Drosophila melanogaster: one gene and its partners. The protein of the gene in region 3 interacts with the protein of the main gene of each other region in a pairwise test. Each region holds a gene or a part of one and is shown on either strand. Other genes may lie near its edges. The genes, in order: CG15080, Tpc1 and Als2.

Region 1 (10,888 bases), on a different chromosome or scaffold from region 3:
GGGCTTATTTCGCTTCACAAACAGAGATACCAGTGATACCTTAATCTACCATAATTTTATAGCCTAATAACTGAAAAGACCTTAGACCTTGAAAGACCCAACTTAATGGGTAATCATTTTAAGCTGCATTGTAAAAGGTATGACCATTGTAAAAATTAGTTAAAACAAAATTAATTAATTAGTGCTTGTATTTATTCGGTGAACAGGGAAGTACATATACATTTTGTTGTACAATTTGTAAGTGTATCTGAGGATCGTTATTGTATACCCAAGACTTTATAATGTTTTTATTTTTGCAACTTTCTTGCGCTAGGGCTTTGCCAATACTTGATCCCACAATAAACAATTTGATGTTTCGCGATTTTGTTTTCTTGTGCTATTTTTATCACTGCTTTCCGAACCTCAATTGGCGCAGATAGTTTTTTTTTTCGCCCAAATTGTACAATGGTCATAAGGTTTCGATGCTGTTGCTGAAGTTGTTGTTGTTGTTTTTTTTTTAATGTTGGTGCTCGCATAAAAATCGGCATGCATGAAATTGCAACTGCTCGAGCTGCGTTTCGCAAAATCTCGTCCAATTTACGGCCCGCCTGTCGTGGCTCCGATCTTACGCAATCCCACGGACCTCGTTGTCAGCCAACTGAGTTATGCTTATCAAAAGAAAACAGAAACAACTGAAATAAAGTATGTATATTGGCTATATTTTCGACATAACCACTTCTATGAATGATTTTCAGAAATATTATTTGAATAAGGGTGGCAGTAAATAGCCATATCGCAGATGTAACTATGTATAAATGTGTATTGGATATCACCGTTCTCTGTGTTCGCACTGATGATGATGATTTTTTGGTGATTTATCTATGTCAGCGCGTCTGCAGCATCCGTCGATCGCCTAAGTGCATTTCAATTTGGGGAGTGGAGCGGATCGAGATCGCGACAATGGCGCAAAAATCACATCGAATGGGGGACATCGGCTGCCCAGCAGCGCTCGCTTATATAATCGCTTGTCAATTGTCAAAATAGCGGCAAGACCCTTATCTAACGCCATAAAGTGCAATTCAGCGAATGATTAACACGAATATGGGCCGAAACAACAGCAAATACAGGTGAGAGCGCGTCTCTTTGAAACAATTTACAATTTACAAGTAAAAGTGAAAAAAAAATAATATTAAAAAGCCAAAGGCGCCAAAGAAGCCACAAGCGAAGTGAAGCATTAAAGCGCAAAACTACAAGCTTCAAGTGGACCATTTGGGCTTGGCTTTGGAAAATGTTCATGTTCATGGCATTTGTACACACTCTTATGCGTATATCGTACATCAAGTATACGCAGCGGTGTGCCAAGCTCATTAGGCAGACATTATAACATTTCTTCGCTGCGGTCGCACACCAACGTTTGCCGCTACTAATTTCCATGTCAAACATAGGCAGACAGCGAAATTTCACTCATCGTCAACAGCGCGCACCCACAAATCACTAATCACAAAACACAGAAAACAGAAAAGAGCGTGCACTTGAATTGAATCACATTGCGATTGAATTTTATTCGCCCGCAAACATTGCGTTATAAGCAATCATTACAGTGGAGGAGCATAGGAATGTCCTACAGGCGGGAAAAAAATATAATAGATTTTATGTATGTATATATATTTAACGATACAACTTTACATAATTGATTGCTGGGGGTATGTAAGTCCTCATCATTAATTCCCTAATCATAACTTTAAAATAACATTTTGATTTATAGATTTCAAAGTGTTTCTATTCTCCCTCGTGTCTTAAGTTTTCTTATTCATGAACATTCATTTTGTATCTTGTATCTGCGAATCGGACTGTATCTCGCCTGGATCTGGTTTCTTGACCCGTCTTCAGCCGGCTGCACGCAATTTGATGAATGCGACAGGTCGCAACAATCTGCATGCCACCGCGTAGATCCGTGAGTCAGCGAGGAACACATTACCATGTAATTTGCCAGCCAACGGTTGTGACATCGTGAGCGACTACTGACATTTTTCATTCAGCCTGTCTTCGATTTCGTTTCCGGCCAGCACGTAATTGAAATTACATTAAGCCAGAAATTTTGGCAGTGAAATTGCGTTCGATAATCACTTTCATGGGATTTAATTGTTTCCCTGTGCTAGACGTCACTGCTGGACTTTCGCTCTGCTCTGCTCTCGATCGAATGTATGTACGTTCGGACCTACATTAACATGCCAACTGAAGAGACCACTCCAAAACGATATGAAAATGAAAAACTAACTGAAAACACACACACTCACACTCACACACGCCCAATGCGGAAAATTGAAATGCAGTTGGAGTCACTGCAGCAAGTTTGGGAAAGGAAAGTGAAATTATCATCCCCCCGCAGCCACAGCCACAATCCAACTCAACTCAATTCGATTCAATTCATTTTCGATTTCATTCGGCTTGAGTTTTTGAATCGTTTCTAAGGTTCGCGCTTTTTAATACGCCGCATGCATAATTATTATGTGTTCGCATATGTATCTCCGCACTTAGTTACCAATTGCCGACACCCTGGCCTACAGTCTATAGTTTAGTGAAATTGAAAATCATTTTTGAAAGTGGTCAAATTATTCGCTACCCGACAAAACACACATTCCATGCGACCGTTTAGAGCGAATGTGTTTTTCTGTTTGTCGTAATTTTTCATCGCGATGTTGTTTGTGCTTGGGTTATATTTTCCATCTTTTTTGCTTTTTTGGTCACCGTATTACAAAATTTTAATTGCAGTTGGCAGAGTGAACCAAAAAAAAAACAACAATCCAGTTGAGGAAAGAGAAATGCGGAGAATGAATGCTCTTCGAATTGCTTGGGAGCATATGAACTCTGAAATGTATAAAAAAGATTTATTATCCTCAAGAAAAACGGTAATTAATTTATGATCGACAAGCGCAACACTTGAAAATGCACATTACCAATTAAAAGAGACCGTCTAAAAACAAGGAAAACTAAACCCGTACATAATGAGCTGATTAAAACCCCATTGTTCGGACCAATTTCCCGCTGTTTTCACCCACTGATACACTTCTCCCTCCTGATTTGTATCCCCCAATCTCGACCAGCGGCGACATCAACATAAAAACCAACAGCTCGAGCGGCAGATAAATGTTTGGCTAACCCAAATCCACACACAAGGAAGGAAACTAGCGATGCCTCTCGGCTCGAGAGGCTCTCCGCTGGCAATCCAGTTTTCCAGATTTCGACCACATTTTGACCAGCGCACTGCTGCAGTGCATTGCAGCGGGAGCAGGAAGCGTTTTATGGCCAAAAGCACCAAATAGCCAGCATTTTGGGCATCACCCGAGGGGCAGAGCAGCGGCAAAAAGTTGTCTTACTTTCGTGAGCCTAAATGCATTTGGCTCTCGATGCGTCGACGCATCGACAATCCAGCTCTCTCCTTTCGATTGCATAAGTGATATTTATGTCTTCTTGTCAGCGTTGCATCAGCATCAGTTGCGAATCACAAGCGACGGTTTATCTGCACCTGGCCCAAAAGATTCTACGTCTAATTGGTCTGAATTATGCCATAAAAACATGTCCAATTAAGTTGATCTATTTTATGTCGGAGTGTGGGAAATATTCGTGTCGAATTTTATGCAAATCTCGTTACTCTTTTCCGCATACGTCGCGGAAAATGCGCAAAGAGCTTGGGAAAAGCCATTCATAAACAGGGGCCTGAAGGTCGCGATCTGTTACCTTTGCCATTTGGCAGCGCCACCTTGGGCGTGTGAGCCATTTCAGTGAGACACCTGTGAAAAGGTCAACGCTAATTGCCGTCCCCCAACCATTGGCTGCCAATTGAATTCGATTGAATTTGATTCTCTATCTGCGAGGCAGGTGAAAGTGCTTTGTTCTAGAAACAGAGTTGCAAGCCAACTAAATAACATTCAGCGGAAGTTCAAGACGCGAGTCGCGGTTGAATGATCTCCGAACGCCAAGAGATCCCGTCACATAACTTAGGCCATGAGGTGGAAACCTTCCTCGTACGTCATCAGTCCGCACATAACTCACGCCCACCTGAGGCGGCAGGTGAGGCACACGGACAGACAGGTGGGCAGGCGTTATGACAAGTTGACTGATTGGATTTGCGGCGACGATGTTGCTGCTCCTGTCAATGCACTCATCGCCCGTCGCAATTGCCGCTGGAAAATTGAAATTGAAAAAAAAATGCGATTGAAAAGCGTCCGAGCATCTCGTTTGGGTTACCCAATGCATAATGGATAATGGCGGACGCTGAACGATATGCTAATTAACTTGATTTCCACGATCCATAAACGTCTCACTTAGACAATTGTTTGCTTAACGGAAATTGTGCGGCTGCCGGCATGAGAATATTTTAATTGCCCCAAAAGAAGTTGAAAAAGACCTCTTTTTAAGGCCAATTCTAGCAGACCAAAGAAATATTTGGCAACAAGCTGAGCACAAAAATGTATTTTAAACACCAAAATATTATCTGGAAAATATTATAAAAAGATTTAAATATTTATTTCTACCTGCGCTACTTGATTGCAAACATTTCAACCACATATTTAATCCCAATTTCGCACTTTTTGTTATTATAGGTTTTATAAAGTTTGTAACCAATTTGTAACAAAAGAAATGCGGCAAAGGCCAGCGAAGAAAAAATGGTTTCTACGCGTTTTAATTGCTAAATGTCAATCGGTTTATAGGTTTCCTAACAAAACAAACAAAAATACGAGGAAACGCGTACGAGAGAAGAAAAAAAAACCAAAACAAACAATTCAATTAAACTCATAATGGAATTTGTGTAGCAAGAAAACGACCTTGGCTGCAGAGCAAAGCCTAAAAAGCCAATTAAAAGCTAGATGCACGGCTCGAATGCCACATGGCACTGAGTCAGAATTATGGAATTGTTGTTATGTCTGGCCATATAGCCGCACATATACACATATATCACATATATCAGCGAGGGGTGTAGCACGATTCATAAGACCCCCACACAGTCGGATCGATTTTCCCAGCAAATGTGGTAAAAACTTGTCGCCAGCAAAGATTGCAAAACTGGAACAGCATCGCCGCAACTAACGCTAAAACAAGTTAGCATTTATGGCCGACTTGATTTGCATTTAGTGCATTCTTGTGGACACTCCCCCTTGGCAAAACTCTATCCCCATCCCCGTTTTGTTAATTTCAATTAACCACAACAAATCATTGGAGGATCATTTTTAGCTAGGAGCTATACCGCTCTGTTTGACCAAGTCTTTTGTTGGCCCAAAAGCTGTTAAAGCCGCTTTAGTTGCGCCGTTAACGCTGACTGCGACTGCGCTGCCTACTGATCTGCTAACTGCTCGGCCAGCGTCGACTTCGACGGAGGCAGTTGGATGAAAACCACGAGCGAACCACTCTTACTTACTTTGGCCCGCGACGCTTTTCATTTCTTCAGTCTGTTAACGGCACGCCAACGATGCAGACGCGTCTAAAAACCAGCTCCGGCTAACTGTTAACGCAAGATAGTAATAACTTGATTTGTAAGTGTAACACTCATACGCATCGAGTATACGCACAGTGGTACCAACGACATTTGATTTTGCATCTTTTGCCGAAAGTGCGTGAGCTTCCTGACGTCTCAAGTGGATAAAGTCAAAGTGAATTTCAAGAAATCGAAAATATAATTAATATACAAAAATAAAAGTAAAACGCTTGAATTGCTGCTAATTTGGCGAGTTGGGCAAGTTAGGATCTTAATTAAATTAAGCCAAGTGAAAGAGAAACAACAGCTGCCGTTCAGGAAGAAGAAGAAGAAGCAATAGAGGAGAGTGGTAAGTGGGGTTTTTATTTTTTATTTATTTTATTTTTTTTTTTTTTTTGCCAAAAAAGGCGAATAGAAATTTCAGCTCTCCATTCAACTAACCACACACTCAACGCATTCGACTGTCTTGGCAATTTTGCTGTTTATTTTTTCATGCTCTAATTATTTGGAAATTTCATTTTGTTTTTGCCCACCGACACTCGTTAACTGGCATGCAATTTGTTTGCCCAAAGACTTATGGACCATACATCTAACCAAAACAACCGTCCATCCTCTAGAGAGTCAAGTTGAGTCAAGCTTTATGGGCAGACTTCCTCGTTAAAAGATAAGGTGGCCAGACCCCTGACCAAAAGAAAAGAAACTGGTCCATCAGTATTCTGTGGGTTCGTTTTGGGTTTTTCATCTACATCTCTAAGTCTATCTCCATTGCCACTTCATTAACCCAATTTTCACCTGGAGAAATTTTATGTTTCGTACAAGAAAAATCTTGTTTATCAGGCCAATTTGCATACAGACCCCACTTCCGAGGGCCAGACATTTCTCTTCCCTAATCTTCGATGTGGCATCTGATCTTTAACGGAACTAATGTGTACACTTATTCGTTTGTTTGTCATTTTAACATGAGGGCAAACAGAAGAGGGAAATCATAAATTACGCCGTAGCGTCTTATTCGTTTTATATATGTATTTCTTTATTTATATTTATGCGAACTTTGTTTTTTTTTTTATGTGCGAGCGGACAGCGTTTTCGAAATTAAATACTTTCTAATTACAATAAACGCAGGCGATGGCCGCCGGCCGGCCAATTGCCTGTCGCACGTCCAGCAAAGTCCATATCGTAGCCTTTGGCAACGGGCTGAAATCACGTAGCCGCCGCATCGGCCAATGCCAGCCGATATAAAAGAGGGATGGGTTGGCAGCGGAGTGGTGAGGGGGGAAGTGGCGAAACAAAACTCGCGAAAGTGTCAAGAAAATATAATACTGCTCAGACTCACTTTTTCTTTATTGTCATGTCTTAATGTGGCGCCTGATGTGTTTATTTGCCACTAGCCTCCTCCGCCGCCAATTCATATTCCTACCCCTCCCTCACCTTCCTCCGATGAAAGTGAAACGTGCGAATGACTTTGCGTAGCTGCAGAAGCTTCCATCACTCGTCACTTAGCACGTGCCCAGCGATCCTACCCGTGTGGTCTTCGTCTTTCACGGCTTTCAATTACTCAACCGCATAATGTTCAATTTGTCAAGCGTTGAGCCCGGATTACGACTTTCTCAGCGGGCCAAACAAAAGACTTAAGACACAAACTTGCTTCATTAGTTGGCTTTGTTCGATGGAATGCGTTGCAGATCCTAATGCGCACAAGTTTTGGTGTTGATTACTCACGAATTGAGAAATCAATGCAACCATACCTTTGTTTATATTACAACTTAAATTATCCCAGATGATTTAGCCATACCAAAGAGAATTTCAATTTCAAAGATCAATATCGAATATGCCCAGCGGTCTTTCAAAACCATAATTATCTCGCACTAGTGACACGCACTGAATTCTAAATGTGAGTAATTGCAATGCATTCAGCAATATCAGATTCAAAGTGCATTTAAGCGGAGGTAAAAACTAAAAAATCAATTCAAATGGCTTCCAGGCCGGGCATTTATTGCTGGTTCGCTGGAACTAAATCGTGATTTGCAGTTGCATGTACGGCCTCCGTAAGACCCCCTGATCCTCCTTCGGCACCCCTGGAATACCCACACAGTTGATTAGTCAGCACCCGGCTGGTAGAGCAAGGCAACCATTTGGGGCTTTTTGCTCCGTTTTGTCTCTGTGTTTTCCTTCTAGACCGACAAGTTGAAGTATCTTGGCCTACTGAATTTTTTCTCACACTCCGTGTCTTGGTCACGGATGTGGATTGATTGCTAATGTTCATCTGGGCACATATATATCTGTATATATGTATATATATCTATCTGCGGCAGGCGGTTTATGTGGATACCCTCGCCAAGTTGCCGAGTTGCACAAGTCTGGTTTGGTCTGGGCCAGAATGAGGCCCACACTCGAGACGTGGCCAACAAGTACGGGTACTTGTGGCTATACATTTGCCGAGCCACTCTTGCTTTCTTCAGCTGCTCCATTTGGCGGCTGCTTTGTTTTGTCAGCGCTTGCTTTATGGTTTTTCATATATATAGAGTAGCTACTAGCAGCTACCTTAAGTATTGCTCTGTTGCAATTGTCACATTGTTTTGGGACACTTTTCTGCGGCTCAGTGGCGACGACGACTGTGGCAATAGTTTTGTAATTAGCTTGGCCCATCATTTGCGCAATTCGATTTGCGATGTCCCAGGTGATAAGTGATATTTAAGGCACTAATTTCGCTTGTATCCGGTTATCCGGCTTTTATTACGAGTTGCGCAACCACAGCGCCCCCGCATACCAAAATGTCGAGGGAGAAATACTTTCGCTTTCAAATGCTCGAGCATAAATTCTTGGGATTACGCAAGCTAAATGCTTGCGGCATGTTTTGGTTTGCTGAGCAGGTGCCGCCAATACCAAACCAAAACCAAAAAGCCACCTCCACCAGCTAAACAGCCACTTACCTCATTTGGAAAGCAGCGAGAAATGAAAGTTTTTGTTTTTTCATTTTTCTGCGTTGCGTGAAATTTACATTTCGTTTAATAATTTCAAACATTTCTTCGAGGTCGCTGTGGCATAAAATTTGAGGAATTAGTCGAACAAGAAATCAGCGTTTTTCCGTCCGTTTTCCTTCTGGTATCGAGTGGCTCTTTCCGGCAGGCCTGGCTAGCAACGCCCCCTAGCAATAGCAGCCATCAGACAGAAAAGTGCATTTCATTGTCGCTTTCGTTTCGGATTTGTATTTCTCTGCATTTTCTGTTTGGCGACGAGTTCATTGGCTTTGCATAATTTATGCGTTCGGCGGCCCAGCAGCAAAAACAATATGCATGCAGTATATGGTGGCCATCAATCCTAGACTTATCGTTAGCCAGTCACGCTAATTGGCCATAACTGTAACTGAAAGATCAGCGATTTCAGCACCCGAGCGATACAATCAGTCAATATTTAATGTGCGAGTTGTGCAAGTTTTTTGGCGGACAGTTGGCACAGTTTCAATTGATTTGCCAATAGTGATTCACATGGGTCACGCACATTCTTGGTTTTTTGCGCTCTAGTAAACCAGCTGCAGATCCGCAGGCGTTTCCAAAAAAAAAAAAAAATAGAAGAAAAATCCCCCTTAAAGTAGGTGTGTTTTTTTGCGTTTTATGTTTGGCCAACTAAGCGTGGCCGACACTGCAGCCTGCAGATGCAATTAAATCCAGATAGATAGCTCTAGAAACCGAGATACAAACGTGTCTGCCTGCTGGTGGCATTGCCACACCGAAAATAACACATCTTGTAATCCCAAGCATTTGCATCCCTTTTAATTACTCGTCCGCCTGCCAACTAATGATATATTGTTTCGTTTTTTCTTTGCAGTTACCTCGACGATCTTTGGGCCAAGTTAGTTAGCTGTCGACTGCTGCCGCTGTTTATGGTAAGTCTACAATGGAGCCGGAGTGACCTTGTCGCCTCCCCCGCGGATTAGATCGTGTGGTGTGGTGTATCAGGGTGTGGACACAGGTAATCCAATTAAATCACACCCAAATGATCAGCAAAGCGATGAAACAATGTCAATGCCAGGAGGAGGCATACACCATAATCCCTTCATGTTCTGCAGAGCAGATCTAAGCGGCTTAACTCTAAAGCTTGTTTACATCCGGCTCTGTGGCTTTTGGCCACTTACCAAAACGATTAATCCGAGAGACAACCACAGACACGCCCCCGTCAGCGAGGAAAGTCCGCTTCGATTCCAAAATGGATGTGTGTGTGTGTGCTCCGAAATGAAAGGGAAATTTTAAATTTCGAGTTACCTGGAGCCCAGACATTTCGCCTTTTCCGAGGGCATTGTCACATTTCACTTTCGATGATCACTGTAGATTTCAAGTGCAGTCCGCCTCTTTGGAAATAACAAAAACAAAAAAAAAACCCACTGAGGTGTGACGTTGTTTGCTTTGTTGAACCTTTTGATAACTGGTTTTTTCGTAGCGGCGATACGAAATATTGACCGCAAGTGAGTCTAATTTTTATTATTTTCCTGCCATCCCGCTCTGGCTGGCTGTACCCATTTAATAGCTGGCCGCCGAATGAACTTTCTTCTTTCACTGTGCCACCTGTAGACGACAGTGCTCTCCCGTTTTGATGCACCGCTGCAAGTTCCGTTTTTCGAAGCTGTTACGATATATATATTTCGCGTTATTTTTTTCTGCTTCTCTTGCCTGCGCGCGATTTTTGCGGACTTTTGCTTTCGTTTAACCCATTTAATGCGGCATCCGTTCGTTGGGGGCATATGTGCGATTAATTCAGTGGAAAAGTGAAAACGAAAGTGCTGAAGTTGTGCGCTCACTTGGCCAATGGTAGTGGTCAGTTATCAGGTTTGGTCAGTTGCTTGCCAGACTCACTTTCGTTTTCATATTCATATGGCGAATCTTCTGGCGTCCTCTCGGTCTCGGTATCAAAAAAATATCGAAGAAACTACTTAATGATTACGCCGACTGATGACGTAATTAGCATCCCAGCCGTATGCAAAACGATTTTGCAATGAGGAAATCTGTCGCCGATCATTGATCGCGTTTCATGGATCATGGCTACCCAATGGCGCATTACCAAAGCCAAGCCAAAAGCCACAGCGAACTGCCATTTCGCCTTAAGTATTGCAATTTCTCGCATTGGCCAAATGAAAACAAGCGCACAATTATGGCCACTTGGCTGCCGGAGCAGTTATGGCCACAGTCCGCTCGTCGACCAGTTGCACCGACAGTTACACTTGCCACACCAGCAAACCAATGCACTGCAATCCAGATGCCGTTGCGAAGACCAAGACCCCGGCAATTATCTCTTGATTTACAACCCGGCCAGCCAGCGAAACGGGGAGAAACCTTTCACTTGATCACCCCTCCAGTCACCTGCGATCGTGAAAGATGCAAATCCGCCCAGAATCGAACATATAATTCAACTGCATTCAACGCCCAGCGACCTTGGGTTTGTGGG
Region 2 (10,888 bases), on a different chromosome or scaffold from region 3:
TCATGAACAGCACCAGGAGCGATGAGGAACGCAAGGCCAAGATCAAGAGCTATCTAAAAGAAGGAGGAAAAGAGTCACCACCTCCCCCGCCACCAATGAAAAAAACAGCAGTCTCATCTAGAAAGTCAAGCTTTGACAATGTGGGACCCAGCACATCGCGTCATGCGGCCTCCGTTGTTGGCTTTGGAGGCGCCCAGCCACCACCAGCGCCCAAGTTTCTGGGGCAAAAGAAACATCCGGAGCCGGCACCCAAGCTCTCCTTTCAGATTAAGAAACGACCGCTGCAGATGGACAAGCTGGGAATGCTGCGTCTAGCAGCGCCAGCGGAGCCACTCAAGGGAGGACGGAGCAGCAGCTCCCGCAGCCGGAGTAGGAGTAGAAGCCGCTCGCGAAGTCGCTCACGTAATCGTCGGCTTGGAAGGAGCACGCGTTCGTCGCTCAGGAGCCGGCGTTCTGGCTCGAGGTCCAGATCGATTAGCCGATCACGGTCGCGTCGCCGACGTACCTACTCCCGTTCGCGCAGCCCCTCGCCACGCAGTTACGGAAATCGCTTTGTGATTGGACGCTACCGTAATCGCCGAACTCGGCGTTCGCGCTCCTTTCATCGTCGGCGTTCTCCATCGCCCATTTTGAAACGCCGATCGCCTTCACCATTTGTGCCCCGTCGCACACCATCGCCGGCATCCCGCTATCGACGCAGCCGATCCCGCAGTCGCTCCCGCTCACGCAGTCGGAGTCCTCGACGCTTTCAGTCTCGCTACATGCCGAGGGATCGTGGCTCCGTGAATCGAAGCAGGTACTCCTGGCACAATCCCCATAAACGCAGTGTATCACGCACCGTGGAGCCAAATGGCAAAGATGAAAGGGCAGCTACTCCGCCGAAAAAGGGTGTTGCTGATGATAGATCTGGACGAGAAGAAAGGGCGTAAACAGGGCCTCGCCTACGAGTCTTAAGTTTCCTTTTAGCTGATAGGGTACATTTGATTTGATATTCAAATTTGTAAAACGCTCCCTTTGGGAATTGTTCATTGGTCACTAAATAAAGAAGCTTGCGAAGCGAATTTATTACAAACTATAACAATCAATCGATTATTGGTTCTTTTCAGACAACACGTAGCGTAAAGTAAAATCAGGAAATTGTCGGTATTTAAAATTTGAATATAGCGTACAAACATATAAAAATGTAAGTATATGAATCGCATATCTATGCAAAATTAATCAATGTTAGGATAAGTACTTCAAAACTAAACACAATAGTTTGTCATTTTTGTATTTCAGATATCAGATTCTGATTTTGCACATGGAATGAACTGAAAGTCCAACGCGTAGTGAGAGTGTAAGAGAGCCCCAATAGAGAGCGCAATATCCCGGAGAGTGTATCCCCCGCCGTGCCCCTTATCAACACTTCACGCTGCACTTTCGCAGTGAGAGACGGAGAGTAAGAGAAAAAGTGGTTAAAGAGGGGACGAACACCCGGCTGTTAGTGTTAGTTGGGGCTCCTAAGAGAGAGCTAAAGCGAGAGAGACAAGTCTGGAAGCTAAACAACAAGCACCAAGCAAACACGAAAGATAACGACTTGTTTCATTTGATATTCGCCAGCCGGCAGAAGCGGAACAAACAAAAAAAAAGAAAAAACAAACTTCGGACGCCGCAGCTGCGGACACGAAATTAGAATACTTACGGCGACAAGTTATCGCACAAATTAGTACGCGAACGAGAATTGCTACCGAGATACGTCGGCGGACACCCGAAATTTTTCCCAAAAACCAAGGTGCCGTGTAAGTGTGAAAGGAGGTGGTTTTTACCAGCTGCTAATTTATATAACTATGAAAGCCAGTAAAAGTGCAAGGCCGCGTGCAGTGCAGAAATGCAGAATTGCAGAAAAACAACACAACACGCGCGACATTAACACTAAACACGTACATATATACATGTCTACATATATTCTCTATAATTTTCCGTGCGGACTTTGGACGATAAGCGGGGCGACAACAATATCTGGTTATACATGAAGACAAAGAACATAAGGCTGAAAAGCCACGCTTGTCTCTTCTGTTTGTTGTTTTTGCTGGTGGCGCTCTTTTAAGTGTTTGCGCTACACTTGTTACCAAGCGGCATGTTGGTTCACGAGCACAAAAGCTGACAAGTGATTTAGTGTTATATTTACCCACTCTTTATTGCCGTGTTCGCTCACAAATTGAATGGAATCATTGGTTGGATTCCCGTGATTAGTCACACATAAAACACATAAGCTTTAGCGAAAACTATGACCTTCATCACCTCTGTATCAAACAATTGTGGCGTGCTTGATAGTCTTATCGCCCATAAAAGTAGTCGAGTATGGTCAACTGAAATAATTTTGGTTTTACTGCCAAGATTATATGTTATTGACCCTAAATCAAAATATAAAAACAGATCCTATATTAAATAGATAAACCGAATTTTTTTATCATATCATATTAAATTTAACCATGTATCAATTCAATTTTTTGTCTTGCAGCTCAAGGAGAGGTTGAAGAACTAGAGCTTAGACATGTTTACGAAAATCTTTCGCGCTGTGATAATCGGAGCCCCCGGCTCGGGCAAAGGAACTATTTCGGAATTGATCTGCAAGAACCATGGATGTGTGCACATCTCCACGGGGGACATTCTGCGCCAGAACATCATAAAAAACACAGAACTTGGAAAAAAGGCCAAGCAGTACATTGCTGAAGGTAAACTGGTGCCCGACGCGATTGTGACCAAGACGATGCTGGCCCGGATAACCGAGGTAGGCAACAGGTCGTACATCCTAGACGGATTCCCGCGCAATATAGCCCAGGCCGAGGCACTGGCTGCACGCGAGCAAATCGATGCCGTGATCACGCTGGACGTTCCACATAGTGTGATTATCGACCGGGTCAAGAATCGCTGGATCCATGCGCCCTCCGGCAGGGTGTACAATATTGGCTTCAAGAATCCCAAAGTGCCTGGCAAAGATGATGTGACGGGGGAGCCGCTGATGCAACGCGAAGATGATAAACCCCATGTGGTGGCCAAGCGACTGGAGCTCTACGATGAGGTGATGAGCCCGGTAATAGCCTGGTACGAAAAGAAGGGTCTGGTTGCCACTTTCAAGGGAAAACAGACAAAGGAGATCTGGCCGATGATGGAGCTTTTCCTCAACGACCGCATAAATGCGTAATGGAGCAACCCCGAAATTACATCCAATGTGCACAAACTAACGATAAACTGCTGTGTTCAATTAAGTGCATAATATATTTAGATATATATAAATGAATACGTATGAAATATGTATGTTTGTGGGCCGGTTAAGAGGAACAGGCGTATAATTAATGTAATTGCGAAGCCTTACACAGTAGCAGCTGTCATGTATTCCTTCTTCCACAGATATCATTCCCCTCATGAGCATGTCTTGCAGCTCCCCCCTTTTTTGTATAAACATATTTTTGTACTCGTATTCTGTGCTCTGATAATAAATCGCGTTTTTTATATATATAAATATATATATATATGCGCTGATAACAGCCGACTTTGACTTTTGGGCAGTTAACGGACAGCCGTCGATCTATTTTTAGGCAATGTCCACAAACCCTTGGCCCCATGCGTGAAGCCAACACTTTTAGCTTCACCTCATGACACCCAAATGCCCTTCATTTTATCGCGTAGCGCATTAATTTCTAAAAAATATGGGATAGTGTGGCGCTCCCGTTTAGTCTCGCGCTCTCTTACTCACACATGCACGGACCAGCTGCTGTTCTCACGCACACCTGTATAGTGGCAAATCACAACAGAGAGGCGCTTGTACAGTCAAGGGCGCCCAATTATGTCAGATTTAAAATTCTTTAAGTCATTTATAAAAAATTCAATAAACCACTTATTGTTTTAAAGGTATACTTCATAATAAAATGGAGATAGCTGTTTGCCTTTTAAACACTATACTTCGGAATATACCATTACTGGGAATCTTATTTCTGGATAATTAAAAAAAAAAACCTATATAAACCCCTTTGTGGCCACCACTGTGCTGCGAGCGCCCTCTCACCTCTCTCTCATTTAGACCCGACTTGCGCTTGGCCCAATATTACGGCTTTTTCGGCACGCCAACTGAGTGTGCCTCTCTTCGCACATGCCCCCACCGTCTACACTCCCCTCTCGCGCGATGCGTTTGGGTTGGCATTTCCTGAAACAAATGCCAGTACTCAAGAATCGTGAAGAACGAAAAGAAATTCAATTGCAATTGCAACGGGCGGCAATTGAAAGCTTATCGATGAATGAAAGGCGAGCGCCGAAGGCAATTAGAGGAATTTGCGAGCAAGAATCTCGAAATTGCGGTGAAGCGGAGGGGGAGGAAGCCCCATAAAATGGCCGCTGTGCTTTGTTAACTGATGGAGTTCTTTGTTTATGCGAATGGGGCCGCAACGAAAGTCCAGCTGACCATCGGGCGGACAATGGATTGCAAACCGCTGACAAAACAGAAAAAAGCACATTTCTATTTGTGGAGTACATGATGGGTTGTGCAGAAAACCATCTTTGTTAATATTAGATTACTATATCTAAGCTAAATCTTTTCGGTAATACGATCTATATGTACACATGTAAACAATACCCAGAATCATAAACTAAGAGCCTAACGTTAAATGTAGGGTTTTGAAACACTTTCTCTGCGTGTCTACAGCTGAGTCATGGATGATGCAAGCCGAGCTTTGAGATGTGCATTCCAGGAAGCGGCAAGTTATGCTCGACTGGCACTTACCGCGTATTTTGGTGCGCTTGTTGACGTTCATCCAGATCTCGCCGCGAATTATGTCGCCCGCAAAGTAAACCCGATCCGCGCTGTCCAGCGTGATTCGCAGCCGCTCGCTTTCCATTCCGCTGGCGTTGATGGTGATGACTCCTCCGGTTTGGCCACTTTCCTCACGCACTTATCCAAAAATAATTTCGTCATCAAAATGCCGCCACATACAAACGTACATGGATGCACTGCAGCACCACGGCCCGCACCACCCTAAAGTATATGCAGAATAGTAGCACCACCACACGCACTCGCCTCACGATTTACGATTTGATGTTACTACACACACCGCGCGGTGAGTGGGAGCTTTTTCGCGCTGATTGTGGCCAGTTCTTGGGGAATCTCGATATCCATCAATTCGCAATGGCCCACAAGTGTTGGTCGCACACCCCGGGCTAATTTAATTCGATTGCTGTCGTCCGCTGGCGGGTTGAATAATTAAATTTCTTATAAATTTACGAGATCCGTGAGTTACGCTTTTTTGTTGTAGCTGCAGCTCTCTTTCGATAACCGTGAGAGCGGCGGTCCGATAGCACGAACAGCTGTTGCGCGGTGCTGCCACCGGGCGCCTGGCCAGCTGAAGCGGTTAATTCGCAGACTTTTTAATCGGTATTTTCAAATGTGTCTAATTTAAAGTTTAAGTTCTAAACAGCGTTTCTTAAATGCACTGTTTTCAGTTGTAATGCAAGAGTTCAGAAATGCTTGGTAGTAATGGTCTTTTTTTATGGTTTGATGTTTGAAAAGAGAAGAAGAAACTCTCTGTTTGAATATCGCCAATAATTTAAGTTGATATATTTCACTACGAATAATAATTACCAAATATTTTACTGTATAGATAACAAAACGCTCAGCTTAGATGTCAGCGATGATTGAAGCATACATACATATTTTATTAAGATTAAACTTTAGTTGGCTTAGCAGCATAATGCTCCATATAGTATTTCGTGTGCTTCCCCGTTCTGTCCTTCGCTTCTTCTTCTTGTAACCTCTCGCGCACAAAAGTTTGCTTCTCGGTTCTTCGGTCTCACCAAAGACTTTTGAGAATTCAGTATTAAGCCAGAGCTGCTCGCGTTCGGAGCTTGCGAGCTGAGTCGCCGGAACCCTCGAATACATCGAATCCCTACCTCTTCCACCAACTATCAATAAAACAAACAAAGGAACTTGATAGCGCGATACCACCCGACACCGTCGCCAAGGAGCCAATTCTGGACAGGATGAGCAGCAAGGTGAACTTCGTCTTCGACAGCAATCCTTTGGGGCTCTATCAAGCCGGTCAGCTTATCTCCGGCACGGCGGAACTGATTACGGAGCGCCCCAAGACGATTCGATGTAAGTGACACCGACATGCGGAAGAAGACGCACTACATACATATGTATTCTAATGGACTCGAAACCATGACGTCATCCCCCTCCATCACCATTCAAATTCTGAATCCCATACCGTTTTACCATCCACTAATAAATAAATATCCACTTAATATTGTTGGTGCTTTGTTATCCGCTGGTTTAATGTTATTGTTGCCGGTAGATATGCTTGAAAGATGTGTATTGTATATACAAATGTACATATATGTATGTATACATAAAGTTTATATACAACACACATGTGGCCGCTTGGCTGGCTGGCGGATATCTGATAGCGGCGTAAAAACTAGTTTTGTTTTGAAATTGCGTACGCTGTTTGTATTATTAGATATTTGATTCAGTTACTGGTCAGCCCGTTCGTGCCAATACCTTTAAATTGTAGTGTATAGGTAGCATTTTGGGTCAATTAGGCGTAATTCATGCAGATATACATATATATATAAATTTATACAAATCCCATTAGCAAGCTAAGTGGACCCTAGCCATCGGTTCAAATTCAAATAATCAAATATTTCCTAGGGTATCAAATAGTCGAGCCTTAGCAGCGCTTTAATTTGATGGTGAACTTTATTAGGTAGCATTCGTTTTTTTTATGCTTCTGATTAAATTATTGTTAGTTCATTAACAAAGACAGTTGTTTGTAGCTGAGCAATTTTCCAATACAATTCTACATCCGAAACACACAAAAGGTCCAAGGTCAATGGCAATTAAACTAAATGCATAATTGAATTACATACCCGGCAGTACAGACAAATTAATCCAATTGCAGCGATCTTTATAACCATAAATGGATACGGCGAGACGCGTTGGCAGGAAAGCGAGGAGCGAGTGGGAGAGGATGGGAAGACGACCAAGTCCCTGGTGACCCACACCACCACCGAGGTCTACTACAGCACTGACCAGCCGGTTTACGGCCAGGCCGGTGGCTCGCAGCTGGAGTTGCCCACCGGCAAGTACGTCTTTCCCTTCCGGGCTACCATTCCGCCCAATGCACCCACCTCATTCAATGGTGCTCATGGTCAGATTAAGCACGAGGTTACCCTAACCATCGATCGCGCGGTTCGCTACAACAACACATTTAAGCAGTGCTTCACGGTGATCCTGCCACATGATCTTAATAGGCGGCTCGAGTATAAGGTATGTAGTCTTGGTTGTTCTTCCAAACTGAATAACCTTATGAAGCGCACTTCCCTTAGGAACCCCTCCAACGCTTGGAGTCGAAGAGCTTCTGGTGGGGCTCCATTTTCGGTGCCCACAAGCCGATGATCATGGACGTGAGCACCTCTTATTCTGCCTACGTCCCCGGCCAGAAGATTCATTTCCATCTGGTGTTGGACAACCAGTCGGATGTCCAATGTATGGACGTGAAGGTGCGTCTGATCAAGAACGTCTCATATAGAGCCAACTCATCGGGCGCAAAGGAGCAGTTGAAGGTAACCGAATCTCGGGTGGCGGACAAGCACTGCGGTGAGGTGCTGAAGCACAACAAGGCCAAGTTCGATGAGTTCCTCACGGTGCCGCCAACTACTCCATCCACGCAAAGCGAAAAGGATCCCATTCGAGTTAGCTACACATTGCGATTCATCGCCAAGACCTTCAAGCTGCACGGTGGTGGCGACTTGGTCATGGACTTTCCAATAACCATTGGCACAGTGCCGCTGCTGGGAAGTGCTGATGACAAGGGGCCCGGGGCGGAGAAGTCCCAGCCCAGTGGTGCCTCTCATCCAGGTGGGTTTTGCACTAAAGAAAGCATAATCGAAAGTGTTATTAATCGACGTTTCTCCGGCTTAGGCTCACCCAACTTTCAGGAGGACGTCAGCGATGAGCAATTCGAGTCCAACACCTTTAAGCCAAGATATCCCGTCTATCCATTTGATGGGAAGCCTGGAACCAATGGCTCAAACGGGGCAGCTAATTTTCCCAGTCTTTATCCCAAGGCAGAGGAGGCGCATCCTGCTACGCCTGTGAAATTCACACCAAATCCTGTGTCGCCAGCCGCACAAAAATCGCCACCATATACGACCAACACACCTGTTGCTTCTCCGCCAGGCGGTAATTTTGAGGTGCTTGGATTCAGTATACCACCAGACTATAAACCCACGCCTAGTGCTCCAGCCGCCTCTTCCACTGGCGGCATTGGGTGGAAATAGGGACCATAACTTAACCATTTTGTATTCTACACCTTAAGGCATTTTTAAATATACAAGAAAGCCCGCATAAGTGGCAACGCTGTGCATGTGACAGCTATATTAATATCGATAGTTAGTATCATTTTAATCCTAAATGGCCTTTTATTAACTCGAGTATAAACATAGTGATCTGGTTTCAGGAATTATGCTTACTATTAAAAAATATTTATGTTCCCAATTAAGAAAACCCTAAAACTGAATTTTAGCTTCTAGCTATTTTCTTACTATTGTTGTCAACCACGATAGCCGATAGTTGCCATCGCTGTTCGCTAAAAGCTCATCGCCAGCGGCTCGAACAGCTGATTCCGTGCACTTGGCGACGTAATTTAGTTTGTTTTGTTGTTGTTGCGTAGAGGTTTGAAGCAGCGCGTCTTGAATTCGGAAAACCAGTTTGTGGAAGTGGGAAGCGGCCAACTTGGACAGCGGCAGCAGGGGATTGACACAACTGCAACGGCATCTCAACGGCGGCGCTATTACAAGTCTGGCGAAAAGAAAGTTTTGACGCAATCCACGGGCCGCCGCCTGTAATGAAGAAGCGTCGGCGCCGCAGTCACTGCTGCACTCTGCCCGCGAACGGACGCATCTGCTCCAGGTGAGCTCAGATTGTAGTGCGCTGCTCTGGACATTCAGCAACATCATCATCATCACCATCGAGCGTGTTGCCAATGCCTTTGTCTCTTTATCTGAGCAGCAGCATCGGAATTTTGGGAACTGGACAACGGTCGCCGAGACATCGAACAACAAAAGCGGAAAAAAGTGAAATCGCTGATAAACCCGAATACCAACCGAGCTATTGTCAATCAATGAACGGCCGTTTGAACCTGGAGTCAACTTGGGAGCTCTGCGAATTGGCGGGCAATTGGCCATAACCGACCGAGATAATAGTGAAGTAATCGCAGAGACATACGCACGCTCCGTGGAGCATGATACTTGTAAGTCTCATCCTCAGATGAATTCCACTCCTACTATTTCCCAATTCCTGTCTACGCACTTGTACACAACAATTTGTCCATCGACTTTGATGAATGTGTGTAAACAAGTCGAAGTTTGCGCCCTGCCGCACCTCTAAAACGTTTTGAATGAAAGCTACAGGCAAGCTTTGCTAAGTCGGATTTTCGAAAACTCCATCTTTGATACCAGTAAAACCTAGCATATTTCATTTTTATCAAGAAACAATCTTAAGCTTTCTTTTTAACAGCATCTACCTTGAATTTCACAAGAGTCAAGTAAATTACAAGTAACCTTCAAAACAAATTCTTTATGATAATATATAAGCTATACCTATTAGATCCAGCCTCATAGAAGTTGCTAAGTCCGAGTTAATAGTTGCATCTACATAGTTCCGACTGTAATAACGTCTCCACCTGTCTGCGTTTCTTTATTTTCAGAAATGCCATTGAAAAGTTGGCAGTCGCAGCAATAAAAGTGAAATCCGCACGAGCAAACATACGCACACGAAAAGCAAAACCAAAGGTAGCTCCGACGCAGACATGGCGGTAACCACAGGCTCCACCAGTGAGGCGACCACAACCACAACTCCCGTTCCGCGACGCAAGCACAGTACGCGGGAGCAGCTGCATCAAATGCTGGCCGGTGGACTTTCGGCGGCCATTACGCGCTCCACCTGCCAGCCGCTGGACGTGCTAAAGATCCGCTTCCAGCTGCAGGTGGAGCCGCTGGGCAAGAACGCCGCCAAGGAGGGACCAGGAGCCCTTACCTCCAAATACACATCCATCGGACAGGCGGTGAAAACCATATACCGCGAGGAGGGAATGTTGGCCTTCTGGAAGGGACACAATCCTGCCCAAGTGCTGAGCATAATGTACGGCATTTGTCAGTTCTGGACGTACGAGCAGCTCAGCCTGATGGCCAAACAGACCAGCTATCTGGCGGATCATCAGCATCTATCGAACTTCCTGTGCGGCGCTGCGGCCGGAGGAGCAGCAGTGATCATATCCACGCCGCTGGACGTCATCCGCACTCGTCTGATTGCCCAGGACACCAGCAAGGGATACAGGAATGCAACAAGGGCTGTGTCGGCGATTGTCCGCCAGGAGGGACCTCGCGGCATGTACCGCGGTCTGTCCTCCGCCCTGCTGCAAATAACGCCGCTGATGGGCACCAACTTTATGGCTTACCGCCTGTTCAGCGACTGGGCGTGTGCCTTCTTGGAGGTGAGCGATCGCAGCCAATTGCCCACGTGGACGCTGCTGGGATTGGGCGCCTCCTCGGGCATGCTATCCAAGACGATCGTGTATCCCTTCGATTTGATCAAAAAGCGACTGCAAATCCAGGGCTTCGAGTCGAATCGCCAGACCTTCGGACAGACACTGCAGTGCCACGGAGTCTGGGACTGTTTGCGGCTGACCGTGCGCCAAGAGGGCGTTAGGGGCTTGTACAAGGGCGTGGCCCCCACACTCCTTAAGTCAAGCATGACGACGGCCCTGTACTTCAGCATTTACGATAAGCTCAAGCAGGTGCGCTTCTAGGTCGGACTTGGAGTCGGGGTTAATGGCGTCTGAAAGCAATTGTGCGCCCA
Region 3 (10,888 bases):
CCTTTCATGACCCATAAGTTCAACAAGCTCTTGGTCCTTTAGTTTCTCGGCAAGATTCAGATTCTGCCGATACATTTCGTCCTTTCGACTGTACTTATTTGCATACAGCACAAACAAAGTGGAGTAGATGCCCTCTGATAGCACGAGTGGGTATAATAGGGTAATATGCGATATGACTTCCCTGCTGCCCTCCATCTGGCAAAGTTCCTCGGGCAACGCTGGAAACATCTTCCGCACAAAGCGGTAAATGCGACGCGATATGGACTCCCACTCTCTCATGGCTTGCTTGGCCAAAATCGGGGTGGGTTTAACTTTCCAATAGCCATATGAGTAGTGGAAACAGTTGGCAATGCGCTCATTCAGCACGTACAGCGGGTGATGGCGATCCTTAAAAGCCTGCTCCAGGTACAAACGTATGGAGGTCACATCTTGCTCGGTAAGCACCAAAGCCATTCCAAAACTGGGTACCTGGTCCAGCACTGCACTCGTTGTAGACGTTGTTGATGTTATCGAGCAATCGATGTTGTTCATGTGCTTCGAAATGCTGTTATTGTTGTTGTGACTTAGTTTCGAAAAGCTTTCATTGAACGTGCTGGATTCATCGCCGTTGACAGTGCTGTTCATGAGGCTTTGGTCCAATTGGAAACTAGCCAGACTACTGTTGTCCAAGTCACGAGATGTATTGTGGCCCATAGAGATTAAGCTATCCGCTCTCTGCAATCCGCCTGGCTTGCTGTTCAGTGCCTCTTGGGATTGGATTCGTCGCGGTGGAAATCCCAAGAAGTCCAGCGCCGATGCAGCCTCCGTTTGCAGCTTGCTCAGTGCGCTGGTGGTGGTGCGGGCCTTTGCCAGTGGGGATGATGTTTTTTGCGGCAGCGGCAGACTGAGCAGGATGTTGTTAAAGTAGTTGCCAGGCTTTGTTCCTTCCCGAGCCCGCTGTTTGCTCATGTACACCGCTATGCAGTTCCAGATTTGGGCCGTGCTCAAAGTGGGTTTCGAGGATTTTCTGAGGGTGCCAGCTGATTGATTGCCTCCAGAGCTGCTAGTGCTTGCCGTGCAATTGGCAAGGTCCGATTCAAAGTTGTTAAACAATGATCGCCACTTGCGATTGTGATCTACCACTTGGCGCCCAAGGGAGCTGCAGTAAAGCCATTATATTATTTTTTCATTGAAGTACGTTTGTGGGTTCTTATTGACTCACCTGGGGTACTTAGGAAAGCGCCGATTTAGTACCAGTTCACCGGCCTGTATCCGCACCGTGTCCCAAGTACCACTAAGCTGTCCAAACATTTTGTTCCCAATAAGCTCGCAAGTGTCGTCGAACTCCCCGGTCCCCATGGCACCGCTTCCTCCACAGGCATCTCCACTGGGCATGTAGTATTCCCCCCGTCCGTTTGGGCCGAGGAGCGTGAGTTCGCCCTCGTAGTAATAGTCGTTCTCGAAGACAGCAACCCCACTGCCTGTGAGATCGTCTCCGGAGAAGCTGCCCTCGAAGTAGTCGCCGCGGTTGGTGATGCAGCTGCCGATTCCAGATCGCTTGTTATCCGCAAACATGCCCATGTACTTGTCCCCGCTAACCAGATCCTCTATCACTCCGTATCCACTGCGTGCATTGGCCTGGTACTCGCCCACGTAGATGTATCGGTTGTTCCGCATCACTCCATGGCCGTGAAACAGGCCCTCGCAAAAATTTCCTTCGTAGACTTCGCTCTCGGGGGAATCCTTACAGTGCATTTCGTAAACACCGTGGCCGTGGAACCGGCCACCTTTAAAGTTACCTACATACAGCCCCGTTGTCGGAATCACCATTTTGCCGAAACCTTAGGAATAACGTTCTTTTAATGCTTTTTTCTATCTCTAAACTATCGTTTTGGATGATCATCGATAATTTACATAGGAGCTATATAACTAAATAACACCCAGGTCAATTATAACTCACCTTCAATGATCCCGTGTTGCAGCTCTCCGCAGTATACACTTCCGTCTGGATACTCAAGGTAGCAATTTCCGTGGAGAACGCCCTTTCTCCAGGTACCGCACGCTTTCACCCTGGAGAACTTTGGGTGTTCCCGACTAAACTCGTACCCCGTGGAGCGATAGCTGGGCACAGGACTTCCGAGAGGTTTGCCCAAGGACGCTATAATGCTCGATTGCAACTGGTCCAGCCACACCTTGCGCATCTCCTGCGAACGGGTGCTTACCAGAAAGGATTTTTCCGGCGTGGTCAAGCGCAGGCTGTCGCCTTCGGTCCACACCCACAGGGTAGTTAAGGGATACGAGTACAGCGAGTTGCCGCTTACCTGGCAGAGGAAGTCCGAAAAGAGAATGAAACTGTTGCTTGACCTGCTGATACCAGAAGTGACTAGTTTCAATGGAACCAAAGCCGACGTCAAAATAACCCTTCTGTGACGTCCTCTGAACTGCACAATCCTCGGGTTTCTATCGTTGCTGCTCCAGAAATCCTTGGTATTCACGGCGAGCTCCTGGCTGATGCAGCTGTGCCGCGCGAACTCCGACCAGGCCACCCTATGCTCTCCGTACTCAGATTGCGTCCTCACCAGCAGCTCCATAAACTGGACAAACAGCTGGTAGATACTGAAGGGTTGCTGGAACAACCGAGTGACGTAGCTCTCCTCGTTGAGCTCGGCCAGCGGGCTGCTGAGTCCAGTAATGGCGACCACCGCCTCTCCAAATCCATTGACCGAGAACACATCGCAATAGGCCTTTGTGTAGCCGTCAAACAGATCGATGTACTCTTTGTAATGACAGATAAACAACAGGTCGGCAGGCTGCACAAAGTCCGCTCGGTAGAATCCCTCTAGCGAATGCAAAGTGGCCACTAGCAGGCACAGTATTCTCTCCCAGTTGATCAGCAAGGGACCGAGGGCGCTGAGCGGCTCCAGTGCCGACTGTCTTTGCCAGATTTCGAGTGTTTGGACTGCCTGTCGATGCTTGAGAAGCAGTTGTAACTGTGACTGCAGATGACTCAGATAGTAGTGATACTGCCGCTGGAACTGCCTTTGGTTTTGAAGTGTGTATCCGCCAGAACACATAAGCAAACGTAGTTGTCTGGGCCACGCTGCTCCCAACTGAAGCTGGAGAAGCGTCTGCGCGTATGTGCTGGACTGCTGCAGATGTCGCATTGGAGGCGCAGGTTGAAGGGAATGTATTTGACCCGAGGCATTGAGCAGTAGTGTATGGTAGTCGCCGCAAGTCGCCTCAAGCGCCGAGTTTTGTTCTATGGGTAGTGCTGCCGTGTTTTCCGTAATTGTGATCTCCATGGGCGAGCTGACATCTTCACCCAACTGAGAGTGGTTGTTCAGGCCCCAGTGGTAGAGCCTTCCGTCCAGAGTGCGGGCCACCGTGTGCTCTAATCCAGCTGCAATGCTGCACACGCCCATGCTGTCTAGTTTCTGCAAGCGCATCACATTGGCCCTCCGGATATGATCCCCACTGCCCAGGAGACCATTATTGGAGGCTCCGAATGTGAAAAGTTGGGTGTGGAGCAGAGCGTATCCTTGGTGAAGAAGGTGCCTTGTGTTAGCCGCAACGCTGCGCTCCGAGTGGCCACTGCTTATGGATTTTACAGAGGCCCGTTCATCCTCGGGTTCTTCCTTCGCACTGGCCACCGACAGCTGGAGTGCATCGTCGGCCAGGTTGTAGGGAGCTACTAACATCACAAAGTGCTCGTTTCCGGCTGCTAAGTCCAACAGTTCCTTGCCCTCTTCGTAAAGGCGCATGTGCCGAGGCTGTTGTTCTGCCTTGAAGACTTCGCCGCAGCTGCCCATGACATAGGTCTCCCCACTAGCGCCGACGAAGACAACGCCCTGGGCGGAGCAGCAAACCCGTCGGATGCGTACGCCCTCAGCATGCAATTCGAGAGGGTCGAAACCGAGGGTTTGCCACGCATGTGGATGACCCACATCCCGGCCAGATCCCGTGGCTTGGCGCTGCACAGAGCCATTGGTGAGGACTACGAATAGTTCCTGACTGCCGGAGCAGAAGTCCATATCCACAACATCGGTACGCAGGAGTTGAAGATCCATGTGTTCGCGGTTGGCCTGCAGCTTGGCGGAGTAGAGGGCGTGGTCAGTGGTCAGAAGGAGCAGTTCCCCGCCGGCATTGCTGCAAATCCGGGATGCGGGAAACCGCTGCAGGGGCGGCAATCCGCGCCAGTGAAGCTGTAGCTCCCTGCCTTCATGATAGATGGTGAAGGACTCCCGCTCCTCCTGACCCCCAAGTGCCGAGTCATCCGCTGCACTGGCCATGATGTGCAAATTTTTGTTGGGGTTTTGGACAGGGCCAAAGCTTTGTAACACGACGCAATTGCTCGATTTGTCTGCAGGTCGTTCTCACATCGTGCACGTGCTCCGGTCCACGCTAGGCACTACTGGCACCAACGAACATCATATAACTTGATTCGGAATGCAACTCTAGCTGCCACGATAAAATAAATTCTGTTTTCACTTGTTCTTAACTGGCTAATAAGAATTCATGTTTTTGTGATGGTTTTTTGGATTAGTGTGACCAGCGCTATCGAGTCCCAATGAGAATTTATTAAGTAAGGGTGTTCGGGTAAAAGTGACGTTCTAAAATTGGGCTTATCACTATTTATTTGGTCCATGCAAATTGTTGTTTTATAACCAATTTTGAAAACACACATAATACCTTATACGTAAACTCAATATTGTAGTTAGCTAGAACTCTTATATAAATTTAAATAACTCCTTAGTTGCATTCGCCATAATCATGGAACCAGTCAACACAAAAAAGTTATTTTGGTATTTTTTTGCGATACATCAATTTGTTTTAATATGGTCATATTGTTTTTGCCATCAGCTGTTCGACTCAAAAGTTTTTGCATGTTTTGTTTATTTCGCTTAAAATGTAGTTTTATCGTTAATTAGGAAAAGTTACCCACGGTAAAAAAAAACAACCGTCAACAATTGTTCAGAAACATCAACTAGTACGACTCAGTGGACACCTCCGTGTGGTACTGCTGGTTTGCATACGCCCACAAAAGTTGTTTTAAGCCACAAACTCACCCTCCTAAAATAAAATTTTTTCAGCTCGGTTATGGATTTGGACTGCGAGGGCGCTACAGCTTTGGCTGACGACTCAGGGCACTTTAGCTGCACTAGCGATGATGGAGTAGGAGATCCTGCTCAGAAACCGGCGCCGCAGCCTGAACCGGACCAATCGATTTTTCTGGTGCGGCAAGAGCTGCTTCGGACGCGCAGTGAGGTGCAAAGGCTCTTAAAATCGGAGCAGTGGTACAAGCAGGAGCTTAAGTCCCAGAAGCACAGCAGGCTACAGACGCTAGAACGATTGTACGCACAGGAACGGAAGTATTTGATGGAGAACCAGAAGCTGCAGCAAGAATCGATCCGCCTGCACACACAATGCGCCACTCTGGAGAAGCAGCAGGAGCAGGGCTCACCATTTTCCCCTGGCTCATCGCCGTTTAAAGCAGACTCGGAGTCACACGACTCCTCTTTTGAGGCCAAACAGCAGGAGGCGCGCCTACGGGATCAGCGTCAGTTGATCGACGTGCTCCGAAGGCAAAAGAAGATGCTTCTGGACGACATCCAGAGGATCAGTCTGGAACACGATGAAAAACTTTCGCAGTTGCAGCAAACTGTTGTCGGCATGGAGCTGGAGAGCAAGCACGTGACTGGAAAATGCAAGCAACTACTTGACCTTAAAAGTCAAATGGAGCACCAGCTAGAGCTAAGAAGCACTACCCTACGCAGTGTCACCGCGGAGCGTGATCAGCTGCGCCAAGTCATTGCTGAGCTTAACGAGACGCTGCAAACGCAGGAGCATCTGTTAGCGCTAAAGGAACAGGAGTTCCTGGATTTGAAACAGTACTACCAACAAAAGCTGAAACGGGAGAGTAGCATGGAAATTATGCACTCTTATAGCATGAAATTTCACGAAGAGATCAACAGAAAAACGAGTGAAATTGCCAGCCTTAAGAATTCTCTTAACGAGCTTCAGGCCGAGCTGATGCTGATGTCTCACATGAAAGAGCAATGCGAGGAACAGCAGCGTCAGCTTGAGCAACTGGAGTTCGCATTGCAGGCACAACTTTTGGAGGAGACTCAACTTCGGCAAAGCAATGCTCTAAAACTGGAGCAGGTGGAAAATTTAACAATTTCTTTGGCTTCGTTACAACTAGATAAGGAAGGCTTAAAAGAAAATTTAGGTGAGGCGCAAAAGACCTTGAAAAATCTACAGCAGAAGGTGGACATTCTTCAAAAACAGTATGCCGAAATGTGCTCCTTGTGTCAAAAGACTAAACAGCAATTGGAACTGGAGAAAATCGAGATTGCCAAAATGAAGCAAAACGGTTCCTTAAAGGAAAGTGAGCTAATGGAGAAACTCAAAGATTATGCAGCGCAGTGTGATGAGCTGAGAAAAGCGTTGGCCGAAGCAGAGTCCCGTATCGATGTCCAAATCAAAAAGACAGAGGGCTGGCAAGTGCAGTTGAAACACAACCAAGCGACCCAAACGGACCTCGAAGATCCGATTTTAGTTCAACGCATTGAGACTTTGGAACAACAACTAGCGGATGTCAGGAGCCAAAAATTGCACACAGTTTCGCTGCTCCAAATACTGCTTCAACAGCAAGAAGCTAAAATCAAGAGCACTAACGAAATGGAAGCAGACTGGCAACAACTGTTAGATGCTCTGCAAGCTACTCAAAGCTTGGAGCAGGAAATGCGATCAGAACTACAGCATAAGACGGTTGAATTGGAGCACCTGAATGAATTGTTCGCTGGACAAAATGATGAACTGCAAAAGCTCCAGAAATTGAGCCAAGCGCAGGACGAGGAAAATCGACTAGAGTTACAGCTTTTGAAGAAAACATTCCAAGAGAATCTGAAGATAAACTCCGCTGCGTCGATTAACATGCAAAGGCTGCAAGGCCAGGTAAAGTCTTTGCTAGATGAGAAGGAGGAAATTGCGCGAGAAGAACGCAAAGCAGTAGAGTGTTTGCGATCTCTTGGTCACGTTCTTGAGATGGAAACAGGAAGGAGGCTACCACATATAAAAAGCTGGCCTCAGTTGGCCAAAATTCTTCGAAAGGAACTGCGAAATGGGAGGGTTAACAATCGAAAGGCTGAAGAGCTTCCTGGGCTTAAAATGAAGCTGGCGGAGATCAGCGGAAGGCATCAGCAAGCTTTGTCAAAAATTAAGGTATGTTATGTCTTACTCCCTTAAAGTAACTCTTTGTAACACAATTAATTGCTTTTTACAGTGTCTGGAGCACACTTTGGTAATGGAGCGAGCGCGGTTTGAGGCCTCGGACTCGGGCAAATCGACGGCTAGCAACACGCCCCAGGAACCCGCCCATGAAGTGGCTAATCTTATTGATGACTACAAGAAGGTAAGTATGTTCCCCTCCGATTGGCTTCTCTTGACATTTCCTTAATTGATTTACAGCTCGTTCAGCAAACCGCCAATGAAACATGTCGCCCTCGCAACAGCTTCATATTCGATCTGATTGAGCGGAGTCAGCGATGCCAACCGAATTTGTGCCAATTAGGCGAGGGTATTTCCGCCTGCCAGTCTGATATGAAGGAGCTAAGCAGGATTATTATTGCTGGTCGGGAACGGAGGAGAGTGGAGCCCATGCCCTCCCTCATGGATGAACTTCGAGCGGTGGCCGAGCACTCTTAGACGAGCATAATTTAGTTTTCAGTCAAATACTTATAAATTTCCTATTTAGTACCTATTTGTTTAGTCTCAAATTTTGTTTTCCTAAAAGGGGCAATTAGTGAATTGAGTTTTTGTGCCTAGTCTCATAGGCCTAATTTTCAATCAGATCCAACTTAGTTCAATTTATATAAATATTTATTTTGTTGTCTTTTGTGTTCGTTATCTTTATTTATGTGTAACGCATTCTGTTAGTTTCACCAATTCTATATACATACTAATTGCCAAACTATACCAATATTTTTTCTACAAGATATATAAACCATTGTTGGTTGCCACAAAAATGTGTAATTATTTTTATAGTCCATAACATTTAAAGTTAAAAACCTTGTGTAGATAAAACATATTTGTGTGAAGTCGATCAGTGCACATCATTTACTTTCGTGGGCACCTAGGGATTTTAGTACCATCGTTCTCCGAAATAACTTCCTTTTTGTCATATATCGTATTTCCGTTTTCATCCACGTCCAGAACTTCCTGTATTACCCCTTTTCGAGTTCGTGTTATCCCACACATAGGCTTATCGTTTTTATCCATGCACAAAATCAGGAGCTCAGTGTGCTGTAGATCAGAGGGCTTTAGGACCTTTGTTACCTTACAAGATGCCGTAAACTTTATGGGGCACGTCACCCCGGCACATTGCCAACCATCTGGGGGGAAATAATTATTAACATAGATGTTCCAATACTACTCGTATCCATGTAATCCATACACTTAGTCTTCTTTACCGTCGCTCGATTTAAGTCCTCATTTAGGTGCCGATCTCCGTCTGCCTTAAAATAAATGTACGATCCATAATACTCCATATACGGATTTACCCTTACCACGGTGTGGTCAGCAAAAGATAAAATGGCCAGCACTACCAATATTAAGGAGATAAAGATATTCATAGCTCAACCTTGCTGATGCAGTTTTCCTCTATGACTGATTGATTCAAACAAGTCTGCTGATGTATTGGATCAGCCTAATGTGTAATGTGTGTGTTCCACAGAACAAAGATACACCCCTGCAACTGAGTTCAGAATTTAATAACACTATAGTTTATATACGTTTCCGGACGTCTTACATTGGGAATTGTTATTCCTGTATTGTATTCACAATCAGTCACTTAGAAAGTCGCCTTGGAAGCGGAAACATGTCTTCGTCAGGGTGACTTAAGCTGTGGCAAATTGATTCTCCAATCAGAGACGGTGGCATTCTTTTCCATTCCGTTCGAAATGCATTAGGCGTAGGTACCCGACAACACCCTTGGCATTGTCAACGCCTGGAAAGGAATCCGGAGGGACCCGCACGAGGAGGGCGATCCACTTGGGTATTGATAAATGCGTTGAAAACTAAGCGACCGCCCAGTGGATTACCACGGCCCCACGCCAGGCTGCCCGATTCCCGATCCTCGACACCCCTCCCGCTGCCAGCTCGCGATGAGGAGCAATCGACAACAATCGCTGGTCAAATTCAATTGGCGCAATTTTTCATCTGTGGCTCCCAGGGATCCGATCTGGCGGATCCTTTTGGCTCTGCCTGCTGCCGTCTATTGTTGCCCTGGGCCTTGGCAATTGTTCTCGGCTCTGGATCTCTGGAGCTATGGGGCCATGGAGCCACGGGGCCATGGGCTATGGAGGTATATGGCTGCGGAGCCCTTGGGCTCAAGGTTGTTTATTTTGAAAAATCACCATCACCCGATCGTGGCTTGTGCCGACGGCTGGGGATTTAATTCTGTTCTGGACATTTATAAATTGCATTCAATTTATACACAACACGAAAGCGTGATTTTTACATTTTTACAATCTAGCGAATAATAGATCAGCGTCGTATTATTGCGGACTCCTTGCTCCAATGCTCTTTGGGGCCATACCTTCTTTGGGTCTCCAGCCCGTGCCGTGGACTGGTAGTTGATTGAAAGTAGTGTTGCTCAGGCAACAACTAAACCAATAAAATACGCAAATATCTATAATATTATTATTTATATATTCCGTTGAAATTGAAATTATCCTATCTTAATACTGTAAATATATATTTTTTATAATTTCTTAACGTCAACAGCAATAATATATAATAATATATATAATATAATGTAGTCGTAAACAATTACTTATTCTGTTCAGTAATGATACATTGTTGAATGCTTTTTAATGGCAATAGCCTTAAATTCGGCGAAAAGTTGAATAACTACGATTTCATTTCGTTTTTCATTAAAAATGTTGGAAATGTAAAAATTTCAGATATCTCTTAAAATTGTCTGTTTACCCGCATTGACACCCGTTCGAGGTCTATTATTATTGGAGTCCAAGTTCCCAGCCAGGTCCAGCAAGGTGGGGACATCGTGTCGTCCGTCCGAGGGTATCATTTTATTCGATGAGAGTGCTTTTCGCTGTACTTCTCTGGGACTCTTTGATTTTTTGATTTCGGTTCTGTGCATTGAGCAGGTCGCTCATTAAAGCGGAGTAGTAGGCGGGTGAGGAGTGGTTGAGCTGAGGGAGCGGTGCTGGCCAAACAAAAGGAATAAACATTTAATTCTCACCAAAGCGATTGATGCTGTCGAGGGATTGAGAAGCGATGTCGAGCACCGTCCCATGGCCTATCTGCCGGGCAAACGATCCTTCTGCTCCGGCAGGGCATCAAATCTGGTAGGCCAGTCAGTCCTAGTGCCAAATTGCAAATTCAACTTGTTAACCTTGAAAGCCGATCGGACGGATCAGCCGGCGGACAGACAGTCGAGGAGCCTGACCGCAGATCGCGCACAGTATGAGGCATTTAGTCAGACGTCGTCGTTGTTGCTGTAGTTGTTCTTGCTGCTGATACCACTGATGCCGCAGTTGTTGTGGTTCGTCGACGATCCCTCGTTTGTCTAGCTGATGCACTGGGGGAAATCTGGAGAGTGTAGTGCTCACCAGACCAAAGTTTGTCTCTGCTGAACACAGATGATTCAAGTCATCAGCAACATCTTAGCAAGTATAGCCTTCTATTATTATTATAGTTTTTAATAACGATCTATATAGAAAAACATTTTTGGGTCTATTTTCGAATGCAACTATTTTAAAGCCGAATTATGAATAAAAAGTGCTTCTTTACGTAATATTCTCTCGACTTTTGGACAACCTTGATTGAAATGGTGTATCACTCAAATTCTTCTCAGTGCATATTGAATAATGCGTTTATGGCCAGA

What was found.
Region 1: the proteins of Als2 (region 3) and CG15080 interact in a two-hybrid assay, tested with the Drosophila melanogaster proteins (one large-scale study listed by BioGRID).
Region 2: the proteins of Als2 (region 3) and Tpc1 interact in a two-hybrid assay, tested with the Drosophila melanogaster proteins (one large-scale study listed by BioGRID).

The regions. Positions count from the first base shown.
Region 1 is NT_033778.4:18,777,878-18,788,765, forward strand, and holds the start of CG15080 (uncharacterized protein), read left to right. Parts: upstream 1-5,421; 5' UTR 5,422-5,801; intron 5,802-9,277; 5' UTR 9,278-9,335; intron 9,336-10,888.
Region 2 is NT_033777.3:10,879,956-10,890,843, reverse strand, and holds the start of Tpc1 (thiamine pyrophosphate carrier protein 1), read left to right. Parts: upstream 1-8,655; 5' UTR 8,656-9,281; intron 9,282-9,737; 5' UTR 9,738-9,839; coding exon 9,840-10,838; 3' UTR 10,839-10,888. Other genes in the region: CG6621 (uncharacterized protein), read left to right, coding at 1-929; Ak3 (adenylate kinase 3), read left to right, coding at 2,534-3,184; leash, read right to left, coding at 4,757-4,871; CG14696 (uncharacterized protein), read left to right, coding at 6,010-6,124, 6,930-7,297, 7,357-7,888, 7,952-8,310.
Region 3 is NT_037436.4:21,675,231-21,686,118, forward strand, and holds the start of Als2 (amyotrophic lateral sclerosis 2), read right to left. Parts: upstream 4,526-10,888; 5' UTR 4,269-4,525; coding exon 1,940-4,268; intron 1,821-1,939; coding exon 1,202-1,820; intron 1,139-1,201; coding exon 2-1,138; intron 1-1. Other genes in the region: CG11248 (uncharacterized protein), read left to right, coding at 5,077-7,203, 7,265-7,393, 7,450-7,686; Sfp78E (seminal fluid protein 78E), read right to left, coding at 8,098-8,372, 8,435-8,612. UniProt on the Drosophila melanogaster protein: Has guanine nucleotide exchange factor (GEF) activity towards Rab5. Promotes the exchange of GDP to GTP, converting inactive GDP-bound Rab5 into its active GTP-bound form.